Linked DNA regions of Macaca mulatta. The main gene of each other region encodes a partner of the protein of the gene in region 7 in a complex. Links are inferred from orthologs where the notes say so. Each region holds a gene or a part of one and is shown on either strand. Other genes may lie near its edges. The genes, in order: LRRC32, NRROS, ITGB6, TGFBR1, ITGB8, TGFBR2 and TGFB1.

Region 1 (4,258 bases), on a different chromosome or scaffold from region 7:
CCTCATCCTTGGGGTCCCAGCTTAGATGGGCCAAGAGGTCTTCTTTGGTTCCCCAAGTCTGGGCTATGTCCTCCAGTCCTCCCAGAGCCCCCGAGCTTCCAGTGAGCACAGCACCAAGCCCTCCGTGGGTACTGTGTCCCACCCCCCTCCCATGGGAAGTGCCCCTAGAGAGGGGCTCACCGTCCTGAGATGCATCTCACAGCACACAGCAGGTCAGCAGCGGCACAGAGAACTGACACCAGGAGTATTGGTGACATGGGGTCGTTAGTGACAGCAGTTCTCTTTGGCTCTCCCTTCACCTCCCTGCCACATTCCCTTCCCCTATTTGTGCCATCAGAGGGCTCTGACTGCTCTCCCTGAAAAAGAGACCCCAGATCTTCCTACTTCCCTCTTGTCACTGCCACAGACTGAGATGCCACCCCAATACCGGCCTTAACCACAACACACTGACCCCTTATAATCTGTCCTATACCTAGCAGCCAGAGAGATAAAATCATCTGTCAGACCCTAAACCTCTACTGTTTGAAAATCTCCAAGAAAATCCAGGCCATCCACAGTCTCCTCTCTGACTCTTGTCCATTTTCCCTTCCCTCACTAAATTCCAGCTTTCTTGCTGTTCCTTCAACACAGCAAATTCATTCCTGCCTCAGGGCCTTTGCTCCTGCGGTTTCCTCTCCCTGAATGCTCTTCCTCAGCTCCTCACACATGTCATTGTTTTCCCACATGTATCATTTCCTCATCATTTATTTCTTATCATGTGGGAACAGGGGCCTACTAAGTAGGTGCTCACTAAAGACTAGTGAACAAGTGGCAAAGTCAGGGCAGAAGCTCAGCTGCAGCAGACTGAGTGGAGAGTGCCAGGTGAGGACAAGGAAGGGTCCTAGGCCCTTATTTCCCCTTCCTCTGCCAAACCCCACTCTATCCCCAAGGTGGCCCTGTGCACATCCAGAAGGGACCGTCCCTGGAGCACATGGGCACTCTGTCCTGGCATCTGACAGGAAGGGCCCCTCAGCTGTGGGCCCTCCTCAGTGGTGCCCAAGACTACTCTCTCTCAAAAAGGAGGACGGTGTCACTTAGACCCAGGCATGCATCCAAAGCCCACCACTCACCAGCTCTGCTCCCTAGGGTAAGTTCCTTCATTTCTTGGTGCCCCAGTGTCCTGTTGCAGGGCAGGCAGCTGGGTTCCAGTTCTGCCACTGGCCAACCCCAACTATTGTGATGATCCGGCAAAGAATAGCAGCAAAGGTGCCCTGCGTCCTCACTGTCCTTCCAGCTGGCACAGTGACCCTCGCAGGGCTGAGCATCCCAGGTGAGGTGTGCTCAGTGGGGAGGCCCCAAGCCTGCAGACAAGTGGCCTGGGCAAGAGGAGGCAGAAAAGTGCTAAAGAATGTGTGTGTGTGTGTGTGTGTGTGTGTGTGCGTGTGTGTGAGAGAGAGACAGACAGAGAGAGAAGAGAGCAGGGGTAAGAGAGCAGGGGTACGGGGGGCAATGACTACTATCACAATAAGCCCACCCTACATTTAAGGATGTTAGACAGTCTTTTAAGCACTTGACCTATATCACCTCATTTAATTCTCACAATCACCTATTGAGGCAATTACTGTAATTCCCATTTTACAGTTGAGAAAACAGGTTCCGAAAAGTGAAGTGACTTACCCCCAGAGTTACCCAGCTCACAAGGGCTTTGGAGCTCGGATTTATCCAGTTCTACATGACCTGAATACTGTGTTTTCTCCAGCACAAGCTGAGCCGACTCCCCCCATAGAACTGTCTTCTTTTGCCCATGAAGAAAAGGAGGCTCAGAGAGGTGACTTACCTAAAGTCACACAAGGAGCAAATAGCAGGGTCAGGATCAGAATCCAGTTCATCTACCTCCAAAGCAAATGTTTCCACTATACCGGACCAAGGTCTCCTTCCCTAAGCCCTGCCAACGACCCCTCACATGCAGGAGCAGGGCAGACTAGCTCACAGTCTGGGCTCTGAGGTCCTCTCTCCCTCCTCTCGGCCTCAGCTGACTTACTGGCAGAGTGGGGTCCTGGGAGAGCTGCTGCGGACGTTCCTGTCAAGCAGTGAATCACTAAGGGCAAGCCTCGTTCTGGAGACATGTGCATCCCACGGGGGAATTAGACCTTAACCCAAAGGAATGTGGCTGTGATGGCGGAATTTCAGGCAGCTCGGGGTGGGGGTGGGGGTCCCTCACATCTTACCAGCCATGAAGAAGGCTGGCTTCAGAGCCCCTTGCAGAGCGGTAGGTGCCTCCCACCCCACTACGAGAAATGGGCAGGCCATCTAGTGCTGTGGGATGGGCAGCCCCACGCCTGGCCGGGATCGGAACGTTGCAGGAAACGTGAATTCAAATTCCGGTCTGCCCTTGCCTAGCTGTGTGTTCCTGGGCAAGTCCGGTCTTCAGGCCTTTGTTTTCCCAGCTGTCAAATGGGAACCTCGGTCTCACTCCTTTGCGGGAAAGCTCCGCGGAGACAGGAGCCTTGGGGGCCTCCCAGGAACCGAGGGAGGGTCAGCCCCAGCCCCACGCGCGCAGTGGGGACGGCGGGAGGGGAGGGTTTGGGGGGCGTCTCGCGGGACCAGACCCCTCCCTGCGCTCGCGAGGGGCGCGCAACAGTGCGCCCCCCGAGGGCCGGCCACCTCGCCCGCCTGGCGGCTCCTACCTGGCTCAGCGCGGCCGCAGTTCCTCTCCCGGGCAGTCTCGGCACATTTTGCGCAAACCCGCCCCCGGGTCCCACCCCGCGCCAGACCCCGGGGTCACGGCCCGAGGAGGCGCAGGCCACTCAGCTGCCCCACCGGAGCCCCCGCGCTCCGGCTGCAATTTAAATACCTCTCCCGCCGGCCCGCCACGCCACGCCCCCCTCCGGCGAGGCCGCGGGGTCCTAGCGCCTGGCCCCGTGCCTCGGTTTATCCGGAGCTGGCGGAGGCGGACTGGGGCGGAGCGGCGAAGCATCTTCATCACCCTGGGACCTCGGCCGGGAAGGGGCGGGGACCCAGAGGGGTGAGATGAGAGGGCGGGAGGGAGAGGGGTCGCAGAGGAAGCGCCGTGGGAGCTAGGCCCGTCCCGGTGGCCGCCGCACGTGCAGTTCGCGGCCCCGCGGGGTCCGGAGGGGGGCGCGGTGGCTCTAAGAGCCGCAGGTCCACAGAGGAAATCCGGCCTGGCCCCGATTTCCCAGCTGCTGGCGCCGCCGCACTTAACGCGGGGGCAAACAGGCGAGGTGACGGCGGGGCTGAATGCGGAAGGAAATGACCCTTCTCTGGCCCTGGGGCGGCCGCGGAGGGGGTTCCCCGCACCAAGCCGCCCGCTCTGGTGGGTCCTGGCAGGTCACTTTTCCTCTCCGAACTGTGCTTTAGCGTCTAGACCCGTACTCCTCCATCATCTGCGGGGCCCTTCAACAGCCTGTGAAATAGCACCATCAAAGTCCTCAGCTTTCGGACGGAGAAACTGAGGCTAGGGCGGGGGCAGTGTGTACACATGAAAACCAATTGTCTGAGACTAGTAAGGTCCCTATTTATAGTTGGGGAAACTGAGGCTCAGAAAGGTTAAGTGGCATGTCTAAAGTCACACAGCTTGTAAGAATCAGGGATTTGAGCCCACTCTGTCCATAAAGCCAAGTCTGCTTCAGTTTGGGCATTATCTTGGCCGATTTTTTAAAGTATTGTGCAAATATAGGGTGGCGGTATTGTCGTTTAGATCGGAGGTTGAAGCAGATCTTCCCCAAAGCCACCCCTCTTCTAGATGCCTTGTCCCCACCAAATCACAGGTACCCTGCTCTGCTGCCTGTGGGCTCCAGGATGCGGGTCCCTAGAGGAGAGGGGCCCTGGCTGTCCTCCAGGTCCTGGTTCTGGGGGTGGAAGTGTTTCTCTTCCCTGATGGTCTTCCACAGTGTTTCTCTTCCCTGATGGTCACCAGCCCTAGAGTGGGGTAGGGTGCCCCATTTTACAGGCATGAAAGTGACCACCCAGGGCCTTCTGGCAAATCAGGGTAAGGCTGGGCTCAGAAGTGGGATTTCCTGAAGTCCCTACAGTTACTGTCTTTTCTTCTGCCTGTTCAGTCTACTGTGGAGATGGATCTGAGCAGATGGGGTCAACCCAGAGAGGACAAGCTGTGACAGCAGGTGCCCCAGGGGCCTGACCTAGCCTTAGAGGAGGAAATCAGGGAAAGCTTCCCTAAGGAGGAGGCCTGAGCTGCACTGAGGGGATGGGCAGGAGGTGCAGGTAAGGAATCTCTCAGCAGGGCCTGGGAAAGGTATCC
Region 2 (4,109 bases), on a different chromosome or scaffold from region 7:
AAGGCTGTGAGGACTGGGCTGCCTGGGCTGAAATGTACCGTAAAGTGTGACAGCCGTACAGGAGAGAAACTGCTGGGACAAAGGATAAGAGTTGAGTTTGGCCGGGCGCGGTGGCTCACGCCTGTAATCCCAGCACTTTGGGAGGCCGAGGCGGGCGGATCACAAGGTCAGGAGATCGAGACCACGGTGAAACCCCGTCTCTACTAAAAATACAAAAAATTAGCCGGGCGCGGTTGTGGGCGCCTGTAGTCCCAGCTACTCGGGAGGCTGAGGCAGGAGAATGGCGTGAACCCGGGAGGCGGAGCTTGCAGTGAGCCGAGATCGCGCCACTGCACTCCAGCCTGGGCGACAGAGCGAGACTCCGTCTCAAAAAAAAAAAAAAAAAAGAGTTGAGTTTGGGGCCAGGCACAGTGGCTTATGCCTGTAATCCCAGGACTCCGTGAGACTGAGGTGGGCGGATCACCCGAGGTCAGGAGTTTGAGACCAGCCTGACCAACATGGTGAAACCCCATCTCGACCAAAAATACAAAAATTAGCTGGGCGTGGTGGTGGATGCCTGTAATTCCAGCTACTTGGGAGGCTGAGGCAGGAGAATCACTTGAACCTGGGAGGCAGAGGTTGCAGTGAGCTGAAATTGCACCACTGCTCTAGCCTAGGTGACAGAGTGAAACTCTGTCAAAAAAAAGAGAGAGTTGAGTTTGGGATACATCATGTTGTGACTCTGGGACATACAGTAGTTGATTGACCAGTAGAGAGTTAAAAAAGCAAGTCTGGATCTTCTGGATCTTCTCTTGTGGGAGAGAATGTTGGAGCTAGAGATTAAAATTGGGGAGTTATCAACAGATTGGTAGACACAAAAGCCATGGAGTAGAGAATGTGCATACCGGAGAGAAAGAGGCCTGAATCAGGCACCTGGGTTTGTGACAATTTGATCTTTATTTAGCTTTTTCACTGGTGTCATTGTTATTACCATTATGAGAGAATATTTTATTTTTTTAATTATTTTTATTTTTTTAAACACATGGTCACACTGTATCGCACAGGCTGGAGCGCAATGGCGTGATCTTGGCTCACAGCAGCCTCAACCTCCCTGAGCTCAGGTGATCCTCCCACCTCAGCCTCCCAAATAGCTGGGACTACAGGTGCGTGCCACCAGGTCTGGCTAATTTTTAATTTTTTGTACGTACAGGGTCTCAGTATGTTGCCCAGGCACTCAAGAGGTCTGCCTGCCTTGGCCTCCCAAAATGCCAGGATTACAAGCCCGCGCCTCTGTGCCCGGCCATGAGTGAACATAGTAGAAAGCAGAGACAATGTGCCGGATGTTTGGAGTGAAAAGGACTTGCTCCTGTTCTCTTAGGATGGACAATGCTACACACAATCATAAATCACAGGCTACAGGAGAGGCACCCAATCCTGCAGGACACTTCAACGTTCCAGATTAGAGGGGGAACGAGAGATCAGAGCTGGAGGTCCCTTTTCTGAGCCCCTGAGTGTGGTGGTCCACGCCACTCACTGCATGCAGCAGACACTAAATATTTCACCTTCTCTAGACGACAGCATTTCCTCAAGACCAGGAGCGCTGGGATAATGCATATAAAGCTCTTAGCACAGTGTCTGGCGCCCCTTCGATGATGGTTATATTATCAATTTTCTTATTCCTTTGAATTACTGGCCAGAGCTGGCAGGGAACTTTGCACACATCAGGCACAAAAAACCCGTCCATGCAGTCTATGATCAGGAAGCTCGCGGCACTCTGACAGTCCACGACAAAGCAGTTCCCCTTCTTTCTAACACAGCGAGGGTCCGTAAAGGAGATTATCCACAAGGACTAGCTGAGTGGATAAAAAGACAGACTAGCTGAGTGGCTGACCCTTCCAGACGGCGGGCTGCCCCTCTACACCTGCGCTGCGGTTCTCAAAGTCGGCCTCAGCTTGGTCCTTGGCTGGAAGCTTGTAGAAAAGTTTCTGGGTCAGCGGACCTCACAGGCAAGGGTCCCCTAGCTGGCCACCCCAGCTAGGCACCAAGGCAGGAAAGCCGGGGGTCCCGTTAGCGTCGCTGGAAAACCATTTAAACATCCCCGCTGCTTGGCCACCAGGCCGGCAGGTGCAGGTGTCGGGCCAGCTCCCCGCAGCCCGCCCATCCCCCGCGCCCCGCGCTGCAGTTCCCTCTGCGCAGCCCGGTCTGAGTGAGCCTGTGCCGAGTCGCCCGGCAGCCCGCTCTCCATGTGACTTCAGTTTCCGTCTGTTCCTTCCGCTGGTGCTAAAATAATCTGATGCCCCACAGAAAGGAGGGAGCCCAGCCCCGCGTTCGGCTGCTCTCGAGGAGGCCGGAGCCCCGGAGAGGATGCGCCCCGCGGAGCCGCCTGCGCCTGCGGGAGCCGTGAGTATTTCCTGCGTGGGGGCGTCCCCGGGGGACTTCTCCAGGTGGGCGAGCTCGAGCGAGGTTGGGCGGTAGGAGGTCAGGTCCGTGGCCGGCAGCTCAGGGCTGAGGAGGAAGCTGTGGCTTGCTGCATCCAGGCGCCGCGCTTCTGTGCTGGGCGTGGGGGCCGCGGCTCTGGGTGGAGGTGGAAATGCCTCCCTCCAGGAGCGCTTAGAGCTGAAAAGCTGGTGCGGTGTAGTGGAAACCACCAGGGCTTCAGACTCAGACGTGGGTTTGAGTCCTGGCTCTGTAGGGAGCATGTGAGCAGACAGTGAAGGTTTCCGAGCCTCAGTTTTCTCATCTGCAAAGTGGGAACAGCCGTGCTCCCTCCCTGGACTGGGCGACTGGATATGATGGGACGGCTCTGTGCACACTCAGCATGCTGAGCGCTGGGCTCTCCTTTCCTGTCCCACAACGTGGACTGAGAACCACTGTTTCATAGATGAAGACGCTAAGGCTGGTTAACAGCTACACCTGTTCACAGATTCCGTCCACGTGCCAGGCCTGTCCAAGGCCCTGGGGATACAGCTGTGAAGATGTGCAAAGCCCCTTCCCCCACAGACGGTTTGTCCTTGGGAGATCCACTGGGGCTCTGTGACTTGGATCCTAGCCTAGCCTTAGATCCATGGCTTATCAGAGGGAAACTAAGAGGAGGGCGACTCAGACTGGGAAGCTCGTTGGTGGCCCTCGTGGCCTCTCCATGTGGGCCGGCTTCTGAAGGGGTCAGCATACTTCCCCGGGTACCCAGGAGCTAGACGGAAAGAAGTAAGGAGCCACCGGTGTGGCTTTGTGCTGCCTCTGAGACAAGGCGAACACGTGCCAGTTAGTGGCTGGGACTGGAGGGGGCCAGGTCCGGGTCCTAAGAATGGAACCTTTGGATGGGGCTGGTCGAGGCTGCTGTGCTTCCGGAGGGGCTGAGGGGACCCCACTGGAGGCTTCTTCGTGATGGGTACAGCCTGTTAGGAGTCTGGATGCTAGAAACACTCAGAGTCTGTGGAGCTGGCCCTCCGTGCTTTCCTGTGTGCTCCTTCCCTGCTGGCTGTGACACACAGACTGTTCCTGTGGATGCTGGGGGGTTGCTGGGCTTTACATACGGTGCATATTTATTCTCCTCACACACCCCTCAGGTTTGTATGTGTATGCCTGATAGTTCCTAAAGATTATAGAATCATGGGCCCAGGAAAAAACCTTAACCCCTGCCTTTAGGTTTAAAAAATAATAATAATAACTTCACAAAGAAGGAACTTTAAAAAAAAGATTATTTATTTTTAGAGACAGGCTCTTGCTCTGGGGCCCAGACTGGAGTACGGTGGCACGATCACAGATCACTGCAGGCTGAAACTCTTGGGCTCAAATGATCCTCCTGCTTCAGCCACCTGAGTAGCTAGGACAACAGGTGCACGCCGCCATGCCAGCTAACTTAAAAAATTTTTTTTGTAGAGACAGGATCTTGCTATGTTGCCCAGGCTGGTCTTGAACTCCTGGGCTCAAGCAATCCTCCTGCCTTGGCCTCCCAAAGTGCTGGGAGTGTGAGCATGAGTCACCACACCCAGCTTTCATGTAATGAGTACCTTCATGGGAACTTCATGAAAACACATGTAAACATAATCTCTCATAGTTTTAAAATTCATCATCCAAGAGATCCTGCTCTTTGATAAAGAGACATAACTTGGTAGGCTCCAAAACAGAGA
Region 3 (4,023 bases), on a different chromosome or scaffold from region 7:
GTCAGTTCTTGAATTTCAAATGGAAGTGTCTCCTCACAGCTGAGTTATTTAAAGAGCAAAAGACCAAACATGCACCTCAATTACAGGAAATTAAAAGCCCCGTGAAAGCTCACAAAATCATCAAAAGTTATAAATGAAAGGTAGCTTATAAATCTTCTATTACCCACCACACAACACATACACACATTTTTATAGATGAGGATACAGCCCAGAAAGGTTAGATATTTTTCCAAGATCACACAGTGAGTAAATGGTAGAGCCAGGATTCAAACCCAGGACTCTTGGCTCTCTCTGTTTTTCTTGCCTCAATGCTCCACAAATACCAAAGGGCTTGCAAGCTGCAAACCTGAACCAGTACTGTTTATCAGACATTTGGGAAGAATTGTAACATGATGGAAAGAGCTTTCAAGTCAGACTGGAGTTTAAATCCCGACTTGGTCACTTACTTGTATGGCCTTGGATAAGTCAACCTCCGGGTCATTTATAAAGCAAACATCGTGACTCCTATCCGCAGTGTGGTGGTGAGAATCAAATAAAATAATGTACACTAAGTGCCAAGCAGGGGGCCTGGCACACCATGGGAACTTGAGGAGTATCTATTATTACTATCACATTACTTCCTTGGAGGCATACCCAAAGTCCTGAACTTTCAGTCTTAGCCTGGAAAAGAGAGTATGGGTCCAAATTCTTCATCCTTCTCGACAAAGCCTGTGTGGATGTTTCTGTTCACGGCTGTGCTGCGCCAAAATAAATCTAATTCAATCTGGACCATTAAATGCTTGGCACCATGTTTTACGCTAATCTCATCAGTTGTTATTTTCAGTTTCTAGTTTACCCAAACAATCCATTTTTAGAGTTAGTGACCAAAGCTGCCAATAAAATAGACTTATCTCGAAAACACCAGGATCCTCCTGAAGGAATGTCAATACACACATGTAGCATACGGCAATGCTTTATAAGAGTTTGACCACTGGCCTGCAGTTGGCCAGCTCAACTGTAAACTCAGTACTATTTTGGGGTATTAATATCTATAAGTGCTTAATATCCCAGCCACACTGCCATCCACTAGGTTTGAATGTCCTTTATGGAGTGAACTTGATCCTCCCGTTTCACTTTTGGTCTCTCTCCAGAGAAGCTAATGTACTGGCATAGTTCTGCCATTTGTCAGCCAGAAGTCTGGTTACACATTTGCTCGTCAATCTAAACCTAACCTATTCTCATATGAGCACTTGGGGTTTCATGTAAATCAACCAGACGTTCTGTCATTCACCAGCAATATCTCTCCATAGTATTCTACACCCATGTGCCTTCATGAAATATTTCATTATGCCGGTGGAAGAAATATTCAAATGAATGTGCTTTTTCAGGGATGGTGACACCAGAATGTTTTAAATCTGTTCATTACCACAACAAGGATAAATGGCGTTTCTGCCAAAGACTTTTGATAACGGGTGCAGTAATGCATGCCAGCACTTTCTGAAATTAAAGGTTCTACCCTGAGAGGTAAGTAGGATAATGCATGGCTAACAAATGCAAACCCAAATTTCAGAACTGAGTGTTTCTTGTCAGTGTCACCGATCGCTTCCAACAGACGCTGCCTTAGGGAGTTTGTAATGTCATTTCTGCTCTCCTGACATGAACGTCCAGGTGAGCCTACCCCAACGTTTGTAAAAGAGCGGATCCTTATTAACTTAGCATGCTTTACTGTGATTTTTCTTACATTTGGACTCACACATGTTTTTAACAGCTGCATTTTAAAAATCTGCTATGGTTTAAGAACAGTATTTCATAAAAGCCTTAGTTCATTATTCAGTAAAATATTTTAATAACCAGTTGAACAGTCTCTCGTTAAGATTTTAAGATATTTGTTTCTGATTGTACTAATTAATTGTTAAAGTTTTTTTAAAAAAAAATCAGTGATGAGACTCGTCTTCACTAACTTTTTGGCATCTTCAAGAGGCACAAAGGAAATGAGGAACTGGAAATTTAAAACAGGAAAATAAATATCAGTTCATATTTGCATTGACATATGCATGACATCGGACCAGTTAACTTCAGTACCTCTGGATTGTAAAATGGTGTTTTAGTGTAGAACTAATACATGAGAATTATGGAGAAAATGGAGAGAAAAGGGCTTCCAATTCAGGTTATCTATGAAGAGCATATTTTATTCTTACAAGTGTCTGAAAATACCTGGTATCATTACTATTCACCATGAGAACTTTCGGAAGTATGACCACTAGCACTGTAAAGAACAAAATCCAATATCTGTGGATTTTGTACATTATTCATCCAAATAATGTACCCTCTAAAATTAAAAAAAATCACAGGTAGAGCTATATTGTATTGGCTCGTAAAATACCTAAAATGGACAGAATCTGATCAGAGAGTAATAGTTTTCTTCTCCTATTTTTTTAGATTCTGAACAGGCTCAGAAAGAAAGTTTTTTAATACAGGGTTTTGAATATAAAGTCATTTGGTCATAATACAAGTATTGGTGTCTGCCTAAGGAAAATTTTGTGCCTCAGTGATATGCAAAAACGCCTTCCTCTTTAGAGTTCTCCTTTCTTCATTCCCCATTCATTCCCATTGTAATCTTTTTCCTCTATCTGACTTGCTCCCTCTAGTGTTCCCTGGATGAAGTACAATAGCTAAAGCTCAATTTACAAACACACAAAATCCTATTACTGCAATCTCTCAATGTTTTCCCCAGTTACCATACACTAAAGCAAACTTAGCACCAGATGTTTTGGCCTTGTGAGTTGTAGGTGACAGCAAGAATTTTTAATCAGAGAATGGAATATTGTATTCCACTTAGTGGAATATTGTATTCCAACTTCAGATCCTCAAAGGGGGCATTTATTTCTAATCTGATTGTTAGGGTTAGGTTCCTTCTCTGCCTTTGAATTCTTGTATTGGAATTTACTTTTATTGTGATATGCAGAAGGGGAAAAGATACTCTAATGAACTAAAGCATGCAAGCAGTCATTTCTTTGACATATTTCCCAGGAGTAGAACTTACACTGATCTTCTAAATTACCTAAGAGATTCAAGGCATTTTGACTCAAGAAAAAAGCGATCAATTCTTTAATGGTTTTACAAAAACCATAGGCATATTCTCAGCCACAGAATCTCTTAGTCAAACCAGGAGGAACAACCACTTGGGAGGTGTATTTCTTATGGGCACTTTTTCTTTACAGAGAATAAACACTCCCAAAGCTGTCAGCTGCCATTGCTGCTACTTTGGAAATCAGCCACACCCAAGATGTAGTTATAAGAGCTAACTACAGGCCAAGGTCATCTGGGGATCCATCCAGCCTACTCACAGGCATGGCACCCCAACCTGGTCACAGTGCATGGGCCTGTCAATCCAGGCAGGCCAGCCCAGATTGCTATTTTAGGTTGGAGTTCCCGAAAGAAGGCCCTTGACTGTCCTTCACGCTACTGGCATTCAGCTTTGTACTTAGCCATTCTGAACCATTATCTACTCTATGCCCTAACTGTTTCTCTCCTTTGCAATATCCCACCTCTTTGGGGAGCCCCATAGGAGGTTGATAGATATGTCAAATTGTAATATTAAAATGATTATTTTGTTTAATAACACAAAGTTCACCCATACATACAGCTCTGCTACATCAGGTTACGTCTACCAAGTGCCTGAGCAGGAAACCTCAGGCTTGTTTATCCTCCTCCTTCACTTGGATCTGCCGTTCATCCTTTCCTCTTTCATGTCCACTGGCATTATAGTTCATCCACATTTGCCTAGACTGCTACACTAACTTTCCAAGCACTCTCCCTCCCTCCAATTCACCAACATACTACCGTTGGTTATCTTTCAAAACAACAAATCAGAATGCATTTCTCTTCTGTTTAAAATTTTTCACTGGTTCCCTATCATATATAAGATAAATTTTGAATCCCCTACCATCTTAGTCTGTTTTGTGCTTCTATAACAGAATACCACAGACTGAGTTATTTGTAATGAACAGAAACTTGTCAGCTTACAGTTCTGGAGGCTGGGAA
Region 4 (3,952 bases), on a different chromosome or scaffold from region 7:
CACACTCCCATAACAGGGGCAAAACTAAACGTGTAGTGAAAAGGCTGAACAGTCAGGAGTCAGTGAGAAAGAGAAATTGTTTGAAGGTCTGCAGTCATGGGAAATGAGATCCCTGGTAAGATACTCAGAGATGGCCCCAATCATAAGCTGCTCAAGTGTGGTTCTAAGTGCTGAATACAAATGGGAAATCTTATAAACCTTCATGGGGATGGCTGAGGAAGATTAGTTTGGCAGTAGCCCATAGAAAAGCCTAGATGAGAGAAACATGGGAAAGCAACTAGATTTGGAGGATAACAGGCAGGATTAAGCTGAAGGCTGCATACCAAGAAAGGAGGAGACATTCAAGAGGCATTCATAGAAAGAAGAGTTGGATTGGGGGCATGTTTTCAAACAAAAAAAGTTATGAAATGGCAGAAAGGAAGCAAACAGCATTCTCAGATGGGATATAAATATAGACATAGTGGTACTAAACTGTGTACTAGGGACAAGGAATCCATTTCCCTAGAGAAATCTATGTTGGAGAGAGAAGTTGGGCAGACAACAATAAAACATACTCAGAACATAAAAAAGTGCAAGTCTTTAAAAGAGAAGCCAAATTACTGAGGGGGAAAAAAAAGCATTTGACCTTTTTCAGAATGTCTTTTAAGGGTGGACTGAGGCATCATCATAACCAACAAGGAAGGCAGACAAGCTGAGGCAGTCTGGGCTTACAGTAATAAGCACCTGGACAGCTTTGTATTGTGTGCACGCCAAGGAGACTGTAAACTTCTCCAGGACATGGACTGAGCAATGTTCTGTATATTCAACTAAGTCCACTACTGTTACTTGAATACATGAACACTTCTTATGCTACTTCTGGTGGAAAAGAATGCACTGTGCTATTCAAGTTAATAGTGGTGTGGAAATGTTACCTGTGTTTCATGCCTAACTATACTGATTCTCCCAAATGTCCACACAGTTATCTTGCCTTCCTCCCTAGGCCAATATCAAAAATCCATTGTTTCCTCTAATGCAGGAGGCCCACGTGAAGGGACTCAGGAATGTGCTAAGAGTCGGAATGAAGCCTATCTGATATTCAAATCATGAGGACAGAATCTAAAGTGAATAATAAAGACCAATTGCTCAGCAGACGACTGAAGAAGAAAAATGGGCTACGCCAGATAGTATGATGTATATATATTAATATATAAGATATACAGGTTTTGAAAACTGAGATCTGAGTGAAAATCCTAGCTTTAGCACTTAGTTATTGGGTACTTAATGTGTCTGCACCCCACTTTTCACATCTGTAAAGTGGGGCAAATGCCACTACTCCTGAAAGTTTAGTTGTGGTGATTAAATAACGTACTTATACAATTGTGTACTTTATGCATTTACATCGCAGTAATGCATAATACATAGACGGTAGCTATTACGACTAATTATAATCGTCAGTCTTGATTTTTTTAAAAAAAAATTCAACATCTTGTGTCCAGTTTCAGAAACAGAAATGTACTTTCACTGCATTTTAGTCGCTAACACTGAGGCTCTCTGTATTTTAGCTTCTAGTGCCTCAGTTCAGCTGCTAACAAAGTTTTTCACTCATCCCTTCGAGGATGCCAACCACCTACCCCAACCTGATTTAATATTTTGAAAAATTCAGCGAACATTCTTCCTTGAAAACCAGCTACACAGATGTCTGATTCAAACTATTAACTGTCACTCAAGAACAGGAATATCGCGAGTGATGGTCTTTCGAGGAAATAAAAAGCGTTTAATCAATTCACAGTCATTCCCAAAATTTCCAAACCCCGCAGAACGAGCAAACGTTCAAGTTTCCACTACGAAAACAATCCGTAGCCTTCTGGTTACTGGACTCACTTCAACACTCCCCAGACGCACGAAAGAAGAAACATTCCGCGCATCTCCGCGCTTCCTTCTTCTCACACAAAGCCCCCCTGGCTGGAAGAGCAGCCCCTTCCAGCAGGGTCGGGTCGGGTCGGGTCGAGCCGGGCGGGAGTTACGGCGGCCTGTGGACCCGGGGGGTCTCACCACACTTCGCCCCCGACTCCCACTGGCCGAAGCCCTAGCGGCTCGGAGCTCACACCCCGCCCAGCAGCCGCCTTCCACCCCAACCTCAAACCCCGCCCCGGGCCCGGCAGCCTTGGGCACGGACCCTCTTGGGGCGGGGGTCCCCGGAACAAGGTCACGCCGTGCCGAGGGGGCGGCGGCGGGCAGCCACCGCTCTGCCAGTCCCCGCCGGCCTCACACTCTCCGCCCCTGACCCTCGCCCACTCACACCCCAGAGGGCAGCCCCGGACCTCGGACGACTCCGCCCGACTCCACCTCCCCGGGGAGTCCCGAGCGGGGCGGCCTCGGGCAGCAGGACACGTCCGCCCGCGCCCGGACACACGCCCCTGCCCCGCCTCCGCTCCCCGCTTGCGGTTCGCACGGCGGCCGCCGAGCCCCGCGAGGCCACGAGAGCCCGGCCGGGCCCCGGCGCAGCCACCTGCGCCCCCGGCCCCGCGCCATGTTTGAGAAAGAGCAGGAGCGAGCCAGAGGCCGGGCCCGGCCCGCGCGCCCCGCAGTCGCCCGCCCGCCGTGCCGCCGCTCACCCGTCGCCCCCGGGAGCAGCGCCGCCGCCGCCGCCGCCGTCGCCGCCAGCACGAGGAGGAGCAGCCGGGGACGCGGAGCAGCGGCCGCCGCCTCCATGGTCCCGCCGCCACCGCTTGTGGCCCGGCCCGGCCCGGCCGCCGCCTCACCCCAGCAAGCCTCGCCTCGCCCCACCTCCCCCGCCGCCGCGGCGGCCTCGCTCCGGCCCTTTGTAACTGCTCGGGGGACGCGCGTCCATTGGCTGCCGGGCTCCCGCCGGCCCCGCCTCCCCGCCGCCGCGAGCGGCCGAGCGGGACCCAGCCGGGAGCCCCGCCTGCGGGACCGCCGGGCAGCCAATCCACAGCCGCGGGTGCCGGTTTCTGGCCACGCCCCATGCTCCCCGGGGGCCGGGCCGCCAGACCGCGGCCCCGGCCGGATCCGCTGTTGGCTCCCGGCTTCCAGCTCCCAGAGGCCGCGTGGGGGCGGGATCTGCCAGCCAGAGCACCGCTGAGCCGCTAGTCCCGGAGGGCCGGGTAGAGCGATGGGTGTGTCTGTGTGAGTCTCTTTCGGAAAAAGGCTGTGGCCGCTCGAGGCTCTTTTCTTCTAACCTCCTCTAGGCGCGGAAGATCTGGTACTGCCTCAGCCCCACCCTGACCCCATTCACAGCCCCGCACCGGCAATCCCAGCACATGCCACTCCGATCCGCTGCAGCGCCAGGCCCCAGCATCCACTTCAACTTCCCCTCTCCAAGTCCACGCATCAACTTCAGCTTTCCCCCGAAGATCCCTCTTCAGTGCCCTTCACATGCGACTCACTCTCCTATTTCCTCCTGCGCCCAGCGGTCACCCCAAACCTAGCTCCCCCACCCAATTCCAAACCTAGAAAGTCCTCAGATCCCAGCCTCAGACCCAGATCCTGAGCCGAAACACACCTCCAAATAGCCTCCCGCCTCCCTCCAGCACAGACCCAGGATGGGGATCCAAACCGCTCTCCTCTCATCCCCATTCCCGATCCAGGTTGGAAAGGGAGGGTCCCCACCCCAAACCCTCAAAGGAGAGGTTCCCCCTTCTTAGCACCCAGCCCCCGTGGGGCGGAGGGGGAGCAGTCATCATTACTTTGAGCTGTGTCTGACACTCCTGTATAATAATCCTGAGGTGTCACTAAAAACCCAAATAAACTCTACGTTTTCATTCTGAATTCCTAATTTACTGCGAGACGCTCCACCCACCTTCCCTCTGCGACGCCAAAATGAGCTCCAGATTTGTAATTCTTCCTGTCAGACTAGTCCTTTCTTCAGACACAAACACAGCCAAGTAGGCTGTTACGTAGAACAGAGAATATTTTTCCGCAGAACCTTTTAAGGAGGAAGTTTTATTTTCTG
Region 5 (3,500 bases), on a different chromosome or scaffold from region 7:
TTTTTCTAGATAAATCGTTGCCAACAGAATTTAATTTTTCTATATTATTGTGCATTGATGCTGAGACATCAACCAGATAATAAAGATCCACAGGATATTTCTTCAGAGGATGAATTTTCAGCATAAAATTAGCTTCAGCTCCTAGTTCGACAGAAGAAAAACATCATGTAGTCTTCATTTTAAACTTTTCAGGATAAGCTATCAATAAATTAGTCACATTCTAGCACCTAGCACAATCATCACAAATGTGCACATGAATTTTGGAATATTCTAGTATAATTATAATCATTATAGTATAATTATTATTGTAGTATAATTATAAGGCAATTTGAAAACCATACCAATTTATTAGTCCCAAATCCTACAGTTCATTTCCCACAATTCTATAGGCTGAATAGGGATAATAACAAATAGGCTAGCTCCGTATAAATGTAACAGGGTATCGTATCATTATATGAACCTCCATTGCCTTAGTAGCTAGAAAAACACAGTGCAAACCAGTAAGCGGCATTCTATCTCAAGAGAGTGAGGGGGCTGTACTTGTGGAATGACTTGAGGAAAACTGGGAAGGCATTTTTTTTTTAAATGAACTCTTATTGGATAAAGGCATGAATTCATTCTTTTGGGTTAAAGTGTATTTACACAGGAGATGAGAAAACTCTAGTACTGTGTAGTACAGCAAGTTGTTCAAAATAATTAGTAGCTCGTCACTAGTTAGTTGATATGATTCTTCCCATCAGTTAGCCAAGAGAAAGAATGAGACAGTGGGCTAAAGAATGGTGCCCTGCAGTGCCACATGGAGGACCTGGGGCAGGTAAGGATCAGCATTTGTCCAACACACAGTGGGTGTTCACATGCTGAGGAGGGGCCCCATGAGTGAGGCACCCACTGTGGACAGAACAACTGGATGAGAAGAGGGGGCTGCCACAAGGACAAATGTTGGTAGTCCCCACAGGGTACTACAATTTTATTTAGTTTTCTGTCATATTACTATTAGATACAAGGACCTGGGTTATCCCCCCTAACCCTCTATAGAGTTGGTACCTCTACTTTTAATTTAAAGTATATAGTGAAAAGGCATCTATTGAAATGTAAGCAATTCATAATTTGTAAATTTTACTTTTTGAAACTATTAAGCAAATGCTTTGTAAGTCATTATTTTTCCATAAGAATATTCTGAATGGAAGACATTTTTAAAATAAACATCTTTTGTATACATAATTTACTTATTTAAAGAACCTTCTAATTTATCAAATTATATTTTTGGTGTTAGTATAAAATAGCAATATTTTCTTTTCAATTATTTCACAAATCAGATGTTTTTCAGCCAAATTACCTACTGTATTCAAAATAATAAGGTTTTGCTGGTATATAATAATAATAATGGGAGAAAGGGACTACTCCTTCCCAATTTGCTTTTTTTGTGCAGGCAACCCCTTTGGTGTAATGCTCCTAGGTTTTGGCTCATATTTGAAAGGAGAAATAGGGCAGGCGTGGCCCAGCCCAGTCCATTCTCTCATCCCTTGCCTTCAGAAGTTAGGCTGCCTCCAGAGAGCATATCCTATATTCTGCTCTGCTTTTGGGCTTCTGTTGACAGAAAGACCCGTTCCTGTGGCAGTGTTCTGCAATTTGAGTGGAGAAATTAAATTCAGGGGAATGTTAAACACTGGTACACTGGACCAGATCGAAGAGAAGTAGAAATTCAGCACTACTGGGAGAGCGACTCATGTGCAGGGACTTGAACCTTGATGTGTGGATCAGTGTATTTTGTTTTTCACTCAGACCCAAAGTATCGACTCTCTCTAGGTGAACTGCTGTTGATGAAAAGTACTGTCATCTTTGTAGATTTAAAAAAGATTGTTTTTGTAAACTGGCCACATGGTATCATGGTATTTTTATGTTGGTGAATCGTTGCAGTTTACGGTGGCTCTGTCTAAAGATGAATGGCTGTTTTCAGAGGTATTGCTAGATGTAATAGATGGTCAGCATATTGTGCCAGGGACCCAGCAAAGGTATGGGTCGGTGACCTCAGCAAACAACCAGAGCCTGTGTAGCATCAGCAAAGGCACAGTCCTTGGAGGTAAGCTATTCAGGGCCTTCCAACCAAATGCTAGCCACACGAAGGCGCTCAGCTGAAACCAGCTGCTCATAGCCTAGCAAGCAAATTCTGGTCTCACTGGCCTCAGCAAAGAAGAAGACTGTGAGAAAGCACTGCCAAATGGTTGGGGTGTGAGGGTGTTGGCTGCTGTGCCTTGATTTTGGATTCCATAGATTCTGGCCTTAGCACGTATACCGGGGTCAGCTGAGGCCTCAGCAGAGAAGTTTCTAATAAAGAGGAAAAGAGAATATTTCCATACACAGGCCTTTTAGTAATTGCTGGCAAGAAAAATAATCAATACTTTTACACTGCAAGACCCCTGAGCTTGTTGTGAGAGTCTAGCTTTAAGTAGTCAATTCAAGGTAAATAGACCTAGATAGGCTGACCCCAAATCGTGCTCTGTTTGATAAGGAGGAAACCAAAGGGGTCAAGCTGGGATTACCATGTCATGCCCATCAGTTTGAGATGTTCCTCATAATATGCTCTCAAGTTGGCTTTGGATTGTATAATTATAAATAAAGGAGAAAACTCTTGGGAGCAGCTGTCCTAGGCATCAGTATTCCACAGTAAGAGGACACAGAAATACCTTTGTGTGGCACTATGGATATTATGTCCCTAGTTAACGCCCCCACTTAACCTTTGTACGTGATCTCATCGTAGAGCCACTTATAAACTATTTTGGACAAGATGCCTGGGCATAATTTTGGAGGAGAAATGGAATAGGGTATAAAACAGGGGCTTAGAGTGACCCTGGAAATGATTTAATTAATGAAGTGCTATGACCCATGTCAGGGTTTCCAGGAAAATCTCCACTTCCCATCAGTGGTTTCAGAATTATTACCAAAGGAACTCTAGTTGGCATGGGGACGTGGCTATATGAAAAGGACAACAGAAATGTCCAGATAGACCGTGGATCTCTGCCCTGACAGGGACAGCACCCTCAGTTTCATCACATGCCTACTGGCAATATCCATTGGTTTTAAACAAACAGCCTGGGAATTTCAGGGAGGGGAGGGAAGGGAAGGGGAATGATTGCTCCTCACTTTTCCTCCTTCCTCCCAAGTAGGACAAGCCCGACTACAATAACCCCCTCCCACATTCACTCCTCCTCAAGCATAATATATGATTTTCAAAGCCATTTTACCTAAAGAATTTTATTAATTTTGCAGAAGCCCTGTTGAATATATTTCTATTAATACTTTACAACTATCTGGGCTATTCCAACTATCAGGAATTATTAAACAGTTATATGCAACTGGATTTGTTATATAAAAATTAAACTTAACCTGGCATGTGCGCTCCAGATATTTTTAGTTGTAAGGTACCATGGGTTAATATTTATATTGAATATTAATAGATGATATGTCAGTGTTCCTTTTTAATTTCACATTAACTTAATTAT
Region 6 (2,930 bases), on a different chromosome or scaffold from region 7:
GAGTTTCTAAACTAGGTTGAGGGAAATTTCTAAACTAGCCCCCGCAGATGTGCTGCTTGCAGCTTAAATGAAAAGTCCAGGAGAAACAAGGGCACACAGGAACCCCGGGAACACTGGTTCCCAAACAGTGCCACTGTACTTAGTTCCATGGCCAGAAGAGAACTGCTAGGCAGGGAATGATTATTTTGCAAAAGCAACTGCAATGTGGTCATAGCTGGCTGTGAGACGTGCAGCCTCTTGCCTCATGCAAAGTTCCCTGTTACACAGTCGGAGAACCACTGCATGTCTGATTGTCAAATGCTAATGCTGTCATGGGTCCCTTCCTTCTCTACTTGGTTCTGGAGCTCTCCAATAAAACCAATTTCCTGGGAATACTTGATCTTTTTCCTTGTCTCTTTTCAAGGTATGGCTATATATAGAGAGATATAGACATATATAGATATATATATATATATATATATATATATAACATAGCTATTCATATTTATATACAGGCATTAATAAAGTGCAAATGTTATTGGCTATTGTAAAAATTAATCTCATTTCCTGAGGAAGTGCTAACACAGCTTATCCTATGACAACGTCAAAGGCATAGAATGCTCGATGTCACCTACTCCCTGCTGCTGTTGTTTCTGCTTATCCCCACAGCTTACAGGGAGGGGAGTGACCCCCTTGGTTTTCCAGGAAGCATCAGTTCAGCGGCAGCTTCCTGCTGCCTCTGTTCTTTGGTGAGAGGGGCAGCCTCTTTGGACATGGCCCAGCCTGCCCCAGAAGAGCTATTTGGTAGTGTTTAGGGAGCCGTCTTCAGGAATCTTCTCCTCGGAGCAGCTCCTCCCCGAGAGCCTGTCCAGGTGCTCCAGCTCACTGAAGCGTTCTGCCACACACTGGGCTGTGAGGCGGGCCTCTGGGTCGTGGTCCCAGCACTCAGTCAACGTCTCACACACCATCTGGATGCCCTGTAGTGGGAAAGAGATCCAAAGGGCACCATTAGTTGGTGGGCTCCGCGGAAGGCAAAGTGGCTTGCTGACCTGTTGCTATAGTGAGTGCAAGCAGGGTTCAAAAGTACCTGTGCATTTAACATGCGCTGACTGAGTGCCCGCCGCTGGGGGCCAGCCAGTTCCATGTGGAAAGTGGAGATTGTGCTGGGGGCGGCTGTGCTCGAAACCTACCATACTTTTTTGGCTCTGGTGCTATCTGATCACAATAGGTCCTGACAGCACAATGATCCTCTGCTGGGCTTCTGGGGTACACTAACACTCCCAACACCTGAAAATTCCCCATGCAGTGGCCCCTAATACCATTTTAACGCCTTTCTATTTAGAGAAGTTCTTGGTTCACAGCAAAATTGAGTGGAAAGTACAGAGAGTTTTCACAAAACCCCTTCCCCATACAGGCACAGCCTTCTCCACCTCGGTATCATCCGTCTGTGTGCTACATTTGTTCGAACTGATGAACTAACACTGACACATCATTATCAATCAAATGCATAGTTTACATTAGGGTTCACTCTCGGTGTTGTATATTCTATGGGTTTTGACAAATGTATAAAGACAGGTATCGACCATTATAGTATCATGCAGAATAGTTTCTCTGCCCCTCAAATCGCCTGCATTCCACTTACTCGTCCCTCCCTCCATTCCCCTACATTTCTGGCAGCCACTGATCTTTTACTGTCTCTGTAGTTTTTGCCTTTTCCGGAGTGTCATATAGCTGGGTCATATATACACTGTTCTATTTTAACAGGGCTGATTACCCCAGTCAGAGTTGTATGCAGGCATTAGCGTGGTTTCATTTTCCACAGGCCACACATTTGGTAGAGTGATTCAGTAGCAGCTTCTACGAGCTGCCAAGGATGACCTCTGGGATGCCCCATTCCTCTCCAACAACATAAGGTTGGACCCTGTGAAACAGCTGCCTTTGAGGGTCAGGCATGCTTAACTCTGCCATTTCACAGGGTTCACCCTAACTGAACCAAGGCCCCATCCAAGGAGCCCATCCAGAAGATCCGGCCCAGGAAGGTGGCAAGAGTTTTCTCTCACTGGCTTAATTTTTATTTCGCATTGCAAGTATTTTTGGTATCATTTCAAATCCTTTTTGGAAATAAAGCAGGCAGGAGTTAAGCAAATGGTCTGATACGTGGAAATAGAGCGTGCTCCTCCCAATTATAAGATCAACATTGCTAATGGGGAACCACCACACAGGTGGCTGGGAGTGGGATGGATACATCTCCAACCTACCTGGGAGAGCTGGCACTTTCTCTACTTGCTTTCTAATACGAACAACTTTCCAAACACACCTAGGAACCTCTCTCTTTCCCTCCTGACACCATGAGTTCATGATGTTAAATTAATTGCATAATTCGCCTAATTGACAGCATTGACAGATGGCCCTGTTAAGAGTAGAGTACTATTGTTGGTACACAAATAACATTTATTTTATTCTGGCACTGTAATTACAGGCAGTAAATTAAATTAAATATTAAGCATTAACTTGAAATCAATAGGGCAACAAATCTCATTATGAGAAAAAATGTATTATGCAAATTCTTTTCAGAATTTTATCATCATGAATAATGGCTTCATTACGAGAACTATACAGCAGAGGAGGCAACAGAGTTTGAAAGAAACATAACACTCCAGTACATTCTGATTTCAGAATTTATGCAAAACATTCTTACAGTTTTAGTGTCAAAGAGGATTTGCCCAAAACTCCAGCGAAGCCCGTGACCCACCACAGCCTGGTTCACCCCCGCCCCCTCCTTTATGAAGGACTTTATTAAGGTCTGTCTGCTGAAGTGGCTCTGCGCCAGGACTGGCACAGACCAGGCTTCCTGCTCCATTTGTCTTCCCGATTGTGCCTGATTTGTTGTTTCTGTTTCTTATCTGAATTTGCCTTGCCCTTAGGGAAACCTACAACTTAGCCTTAGCCTT
Region 7 (4,042 bases):
GGGCACTGGGGAGCTATGGAAGGATCCTTAGCAGGGGAGTAACATGGATTTGGAAAGATCTCTGGCAGTTGTGTGGGGATAGATGAGAAGATGGGAGTCTAGAAAGGAGGCTGGGTTGGAAACCCTGGGACAGAAACCCAGAAAGGAAAGGACTGGGCCTGGGGTCTCCGGTGAGTATCAGGGAGGGGGGAATCAGGAGCAGGAGTCTGGTCACCACCCATCCCTCCTTTCCCCTCTCCCTGCTTTCCTGCAGGCTGGCCCCGGCTCCATTTCCAGGTGTGGTCCCAGGACAGCTTTGGCCGCTGCCAGCTTGCAGGCTATGGATTTTGCCATGTGCCCAGCAGCCCGGGCACACACCAGCTGGCCTGCCCCACCTGGCGGCCCCTGGGCAGTTGGCGAGAGCAGCTGGCACGGGCTTTCGTGGGTGGTGGGCCACAGCTGCTGCATGGGGACACCATCTACAGTGGGGCCGACCGCTATCGCCTGCACACAGCTGCTGGTGGCACCGTGCACCTGGAGATCAGCCTGCTGCTCCGCAACTTCGACCGCTATGGCGTTGAGTGCTGAGGGACCCTGTCTCCAACGCCACCACCATCCACACCCTGGACACCCAGTGAGGCACAGTGGTCAGGAGCACGGACTCTGGAGACCATCAGAGCTGGACCCCAGCTAAGGACTCCTGTCCTTGCTAGGACCTCTGGGTCCCTCTGGGCCCAGTTTCCCTACCTGTAAATTGGGGAGAGTAAATGTATGGGGTCGCAGGATGTTGGATGACAAGAGGCTGCTTAGCCACATGGGAGGTGCTCAGTAAAGGAGAGCAATTCTTACCGGTGTCTGCCTCCTGACCCTTCCATCCCTCAGGTGTCCTGTTGCCCCCTCCTCCCACTGACACCCTCCGGATGCCCCCATCTTGACAGACCCTCTTCCCCTACCCTGTGTGCCAGCCTCACACTGTCCTCCCGTTCTGGGTCCCCCTCCTCTGGTCGGCTCCCCTGTGTCTCATCCCGCGGATTAAGCCTTCGCCTGGTCCTCTTTTTCTGGTGACCCACACCGCCCGCAAAGCCACAGCGCATCTGGATCACCTGCTTTGGTGGCTCTTGGCCGCCAGGAGGCAGCACCCTGTTTGCGGGGCGGAGCCGGGGTGCCCGCCCCTTTCCCCCAGGGCTGAAGGGACCCCCCTCAGAGCCCGCCCACGCGAGATGAGGACTGTGGCCCAGCCCCCCCATGCCCTCCCCCTGGGGGCCGCCCGCGCTCCCGCCCCGTGCGCTTCCTGGGTGGGGCTGGGGCGGCTTCAAAACCCCCCGCCGACCCAGCCGGTCCCCGCCGCCGCCGCCCTTCGCGCCCTGGGCCATCTCCCTCCCACCTCCCTCCGCGGATCAGCCAGACTGCGAGGGCCCCGGCCGGGGGCAGGGGGGACGCCCCGTCCGGGGCACCCCCCCGGCTCTGAGCCGCCCGCGGGGCCGGCCTCGGCCCGGAGCGGAGGAAGGAGTCGCCGAGGAGCAGCCTGAGGCCCCAGAGTCTGAGACGAGCCGCCGCCGCCCCCGCCACTGCGGGGAGGAGGGGGAGGAGGAGCGGGAGGAGGGACGAGCTGGTCGGGAGAAGAGGAAAAAAACTTTTGAGACTTTTCCGTTGCCGCTGGGAGCCGGAGGCGCGGGGACCTCTTGGCGCGACGCTGCCCCGCGAGGAGGCAGGACTTGGGGACCCCAGACCGCCTCCCTTTGCCGCCGGGGACGCTTGCTCCCTCCCTGCCCCCTACACGGCGTCCCTCAGGCGCCCCCATTCCGGACCAGCCCTCGGGAGTCGCCGACCCGGCCTCCCGCAAATACTTTTCCCCAGACCTCGGGCGCACCCCCTGCACGCCGCCTTCATCCCCGGCCTGTCTCCTGAGCCCCCGCGCATCCTAGACCTTTTCTCCTCCAGGAGACGGATCTCTCTCCGACCTGCCACAGATCCCCTATTCAAGACCACCCACCTTCTGGTACCAGATCTCGCCCATCTAGGTTATTTCCGTGGGATACTGAGACACCCCCGGTCCAAGCCTCCCCTCCACCACTGCGCCCTTCTCCCTGAGGACCTCAACTTTCCCTCGAGGCCCTCCTACCTTTTCCCGGGAGACCCCCAGCCCCTGCAGGGGCGGGGCCTCCCCACCACGCTAGCCCTGTTCGCCCTCTCGGCAGTGCCGGGGGGCGCCGCCTCCCCCATGCCGCCCTCCGGGCTGCGGCTGCTGCCGCTGCTGCTACCGCTGCTGTGGCTACTGGTGCTGACGCCTGGCCGGCCGGCCGCGGGACTATCCACCTGCAAGACTATCGACATGGAGCTGGTGAAGCGGAAGCGCATCGAGGCCATCCGTGGCCAGATCCTGTCCAAGCTGCGGCTCGCCAGCCCCCCGAGCCAGGGGGAGGTGCCGCCCGGCCCGCTGCCCGAGGCCGTGCTCGCCCTGTACAACAGCACCCGCGACCGGGTGGCCGGGGAGAGTGCGGAGCCGGAACCCGAACCGGAGGCCGACTACTACGCCAAGGAGGTCACCCGCGTGCTAATGGTGGAAACCCACAACGGTGAGCTCGGAGGGGCAGGGGAGCCGGGAGGGGGGCCCCCAGGGGGCGCCGGAGTGCCGGGGCCCCGGGTAGGAAGTGACTGGCAGAGGAAACTGGCTGGAGGAAGAGGACCCCCCGGGGCAAAGGGAACGTGGGATGGTGGGAGGGGGGTGTCCGAAAGAGGATGGCACTGAGTCCCCTACCCCCCAGGTATCTGGTCTTGGAGAGGAGGAGATAGCGAAGTGGACCGCTTCTAGAGGGCGACAGAAACATGCGGGGTCGTGGGGGTAGTGCCCTAGAGGGATAGAAGCAATAGGGGGACGGTAGAAGGCTCCCTCCTCCAGGACGCGTTGAATTGGGGAGGGGGTCGTGGGGTAGGAGAGGGGGGAGAGGGGAGCCCGGTGTGGGAGAAGCGAAGACCTCAGCATTTGGGAAAGGAGAGGCACTGGGGCAAGTTGACCCAGAGCTTGGGGGTCCTGAGGTGGAAAGATTCAAGGACAGAAAAGCTGGATGAAGGCAACCCTAGGGGGTGCGAGAAAAGTGAGAGCGGACCCATTTCCAGAGGCTGCGAGGAACACGCGGGATGCGGGGGTGGGGGAGAGTCGTAGAAAGAGAAACAGAGGTGGGTGTGATAAATGTGGGGAGAAAGGGACGGGAGGTTATTGGAAGGAGGAGGCAAGCGGGAGAGGAGCGGAGACCCAGGAGTGTGCCCGGGATGCAGAAGTGTCCTCGGTGTTTCACACGGGGATGTGAGGGACAGAGTGGGGAGCCCAGAGGAGGAATTGAGCTTCCAGAAGACCTAGAATCCTGGGTCATGGGAAGAGCTTTACCGAGAGGGGAGACAAGCGTGGGAAAGGTGGTGTGAGCGGGGCGGAGGAGAGATACCCAGCGCCATCCACGCCGCGAGCACTGAGCGCCCCCCGCCCGTCCCGCCACTCGCCGCAGGATGCAGGGGAATGGGCTGAGCGGAGTCCAGCCGCAGGGGAAGTGCTGGGTGGGGAGTGACTCTACGAGACCGAGGTGAGAAAACCAAGCTGGGAGGAGTGAGAAAGCCCCACGTGGGTGCCACGCGCGGGGGGAGGAGCCTGCGCTTCCACCAAGGGGCAGGAGGACCCCGCTGCGCTAAATGCTGGCAGTCTGGACCCCAAAGCCCCAGTTCCTCTCGAGGTGGCTGGGGAAACCCCAGCGTCCGGCCGCCTCACTCTCCTCCCTTCCCTTTCCTTCCCATGCCCCCGGCGGGGGCGGGGATCGCGCGCGGAGCCCGGGGCGAGACGGGGCAGGTCTGGTCCCCGCCCTCCTGGCTGCGGCGCCTCCCGCCCTCCTCACCCCAGCTACGGGCGGGGCTCCCACTGAGCCGGCCCCGTCCATCCATGCGAGGACCCAGGCGTCCTGCGTGGTTCAGAGCTTTGGGAAAGATCCCTTAGGTTTCACTGACTTTTGGGCGGTGTGGGCTTGCCGGTCGCCGGCCCATTCTTGCGCCAGTTTACGGCTCCAGCCCAATGACGCGC

The links.
Region 1: the proteins of TGFB1 (region 7) and LRRC32 are in contact, whole or in part, in a cryo-EM structure (PDB 8VSC), measured with the Homo sapiens proteins. The link is inferred for Macaca mulatta from reciprocal best matches to the Homo sapiens genes TGFB1 and LRRC32. Residues at the interface, in NP_000651.3 of Homo sapiens: Leu30, Ser31, Thr32, Cys33, Lys34, Pro325, Pro327, Tyr328, Ile329, Trp330, Ser331, Leu332, Thr334, Gln335, Tyr336, Val339, Leu342, His346, Ala353, Pro354; in NP_001122394.1 of Homo sapiens: Ser135, Tyr137, Glu158, Ser160, Thr162, Val184, Met186, Asp187, Ile188, Glu189, Asp190, Phe193, Leu202, Leu204, Arg206, Asn207, Ser208, Leu209, Thr210, Cys211, Ile212, Ser213, Asp214, Phe215, Ser216, Leu217, Leu223, Leu225, Cys227, Ser229.
Region 2: the proteins of TGFB1 (region 7) and NRROS are in contact, whole or in part, in a cryo-EM structure (PDB 7Y1R), measured with the Homo sapiens proteins. The link is inferred for Macaca mulatta from reciprocal best matches to the Homo sapiens genes TGFB1 and NRROS. Residues at the interface, in NP_000651.3 of Homo sapiens: Leu30, Ser31, Thr32, Cys33, Thr35; in NP_940967.1 of Homo sapiens: Phe194, Glu195, Ile196, Glu197, Gly198, Gly199, Phe201, Leu210, Leu212, Pro218, Cys219, Ile220, Val221, Asp222, Phe223, Gly224, Leu225.
Region 3: the proteins of TGFB1 (region 7) and ITGB6 are in contact, whole or in part, in a crystal structure (PDB 5FFO), measured with the Homo sapiens proteins. The link is inferred for Macaca mulatta from reciprocal best matches to the Homo sapiens genes TGFB1 and ITGB6. Residues at the interface, in NP_000651.3 of Homo sapiens: Pro70, Gly71, Pro72, Glu75, Leu158, Asn237, Gly245, Asp246, Leu247, Thr249, Ile250, His251, Met253, Asn254; in NP_000879.2 of Homo sapiens: Ser142, Ala143, Ser144, Asp146, Asp147, Pro196, Cys197, Ser199, Ile200, Pro201, Tyr202, Lys228, Lys231, Ile232, Ser233, Ala234, Asn235, Ile236, Asp237, Thr238, Glu240.
Region 4: the proteins of TGFB1 (region 7) and TGFBR1 are in contact, whole or in part, in a crystal structure (PDB 3KFD), measured with the Homo sapiens proteins. The link is inferred for Macaca mulatta from reciprocal best matches to the Homo sapiens genes TGFB1 and TGFBR1. Residues at the interface, in NP_000651.3 of Homo sapiens: Ala279, Leu280, Asp281, Asn283, Tyr284, Tyr328, Ile329, Trp330, Gln335, Lys338; in NP_004603.1 of Homo sapiens: His39, Leu40, Thr42, Lys43, Phe55, Asn68, Met70, Ile78, Phe84, Val85.
Region 5: the proteins of TGFB1 (region 7) and ITGB8 are in contact, whole or in part, in a cryo-EM structure (PDB 7Y1T), measured with the Homo sapiens proteins. The link is inferred for Macaca mulatta from reciprocal best matches to the Homo sapiens genes TGFB1 and ITGB8. Residues at the interface, in NP_000651.3 of Homo sapiens: His117, Thr241, Arg243, Arg244, Gly245, Asp246, Leu247, Thr249, Ile250, His251, Gly252, Met253; in NP_002205.1 of Homo sapiens: Ser156, Ala157, Ser158, His160, Asn161, Asp213, Tyr214, Asn215, Leu216, Gly248, Asn249, Ile250, Asp251, Thr252, Glu254, Gln286.
Region 6: the proteins of TGFB1 (region 7) and TGFBR2 are in contact, whole or in part, in a cryo-EM structure (PDB 9FKP), measured with the Homo sapiens proteins. The link is inferred for Macaca mulatta from reciprocal best matches to the Homo sapiens genes TGFB1 and TGFBR2. Residues at the interface, in NP_000651.3 of Homo sapiens: Arg303, Lys309, Trp310, His312, Tyr368, Tyr369, Val370, Gly371, Arg372, Lys373; in NP_003233.4 of Homo sapiens: Phe47, Leu50, Phe53, Asp55, Ser72, Ile73, Thr74, Ser75, Ile76, Cys77, Glu78, Val100, Asp141, Glu142.

Annotation. Positions count from the first base shown.
Region 1 is NC_133419.1:77,073,862-77,078,119, forward strand, and holds the start of LRRC32 (transforming growth factor beta activator LRRC32), read right to left. Parts: upstream 2,801-4,258; 5' UTR 2,667-2,800; exon of another isoform or gene 1,657-2,666; intron 1,356-1,656; exon of another isoform or gene 1,110-1,355; intron 1-1,109.
Region 2 is NC_133407.1:2,177,193-2,181,301, forward strand, and holds the start of NRROS (transforming growth factor beta activator LRRC33), read left to right. Parts: upstream 1-1,309; 5' UTR 1,310-2,272; coding exon 2,273-2,379; coding exon of another isoform or gene 2,380-2,423; intron 2,424-4,109. UniProt on the Homo sapiens protein: Key regulator of transforming growth factor beta-1 (TGFB1) specifically required for microglia function in the nervous system.
Region 3 is NC_133417.1:65,076,294-65,080,316, reverse strand, and holds the start of ITGB6 (integrin beta-6), read left to right. Parts: upstream 1-1,223; 5' UTR 1,224-1,503; intron 1,504-4,023. UniProt on the Homo sapiens protein: Integrin alpha-V:beta-6 (ITGAV:ITGB6) is a receptor for fibronectin and cytotactin. It recognizes the sequence R-G-D in its ligands. Internalization of integrin alpha-V/beta-6 via clathrin-mediated endocytosis promotes carcinoma cell invasion.
Region 4 is NC_133420.1:59,300,419-59,304,370, forward strand, and holds the start of TGFBR1 (TGF-beta receptor type-1), read right to left. Parts: upstream 2,801-3,952; 5' UTR 2,692-2,800; coding exon 2,595-2,691; intron 1-2,594. UniProt on the Homo sapiens protein: Transmembrane serine/threonine kinase forming with the TGF-beta type II serine/threonine kinase receptor, TGFBR2, the non-promiscuous receptor for the TGF-beta cytokines TGFB1, TGFB2 and TGFB3.
Region 5 is NC_133408.1:107,917,188-107,920,687, forward strand, and holds part of ITGB8 (integrin beta-8 precursor), read right to left. Parts: intron 1,846-3,500; exon of another isoform or gene 1,775-1,845; intron 142-1,774; coding exon 1-141. UniProt on the Homo sapiens protein: Integrin alpha-V:beta-8 (ITGAV:ITGB8) is a receptor for fibronectin. It recognizes the sequence R-G-D in its ligands.
Region 6 is NC_133407.1:17,856,648-17,859,577, forward strand, and holds the end of TGFBR2 (TGF-beta receptor type-2 precursor), read right to left. Parts: intron 957-2,930; coding exon 777-956; 3' UTR 501-776; downstream 1-500. UniProt on the Homo sapiens protein: Transmembrane serine/threonine kinase forming with the TGF-beta type I serine/threonine kinase receptor, TGFBR1, the non-promiscuous receptor for the TGF-beta cytokines TGFB1, TGFB2 and TGFB3.
Region 7 is NC_133424.1:52,496,821-52,500,862, reverse strand, and holds the start of TGFB1 (transforming growth factor beta-1 proprotein), read left to right. Parts: upstream 1-1,242; 5' UTR 1,243-2,200; coding exon 2,201-2,555; intron 2,556-4,042. Other genes in the region: B9D2 (B9 domain-containing protein 2), read left to right, coding at 254-567. UniProt on the Homo sapiens protein: Transforming growth factor beta-1 proprotein: Precursor of the Latency-associated peptide (LAP) and Transforming growth factor beta-1 (TGF-beta-1) chains, which constitute the regulatory and active subunit of TGF-beta-1, respectively.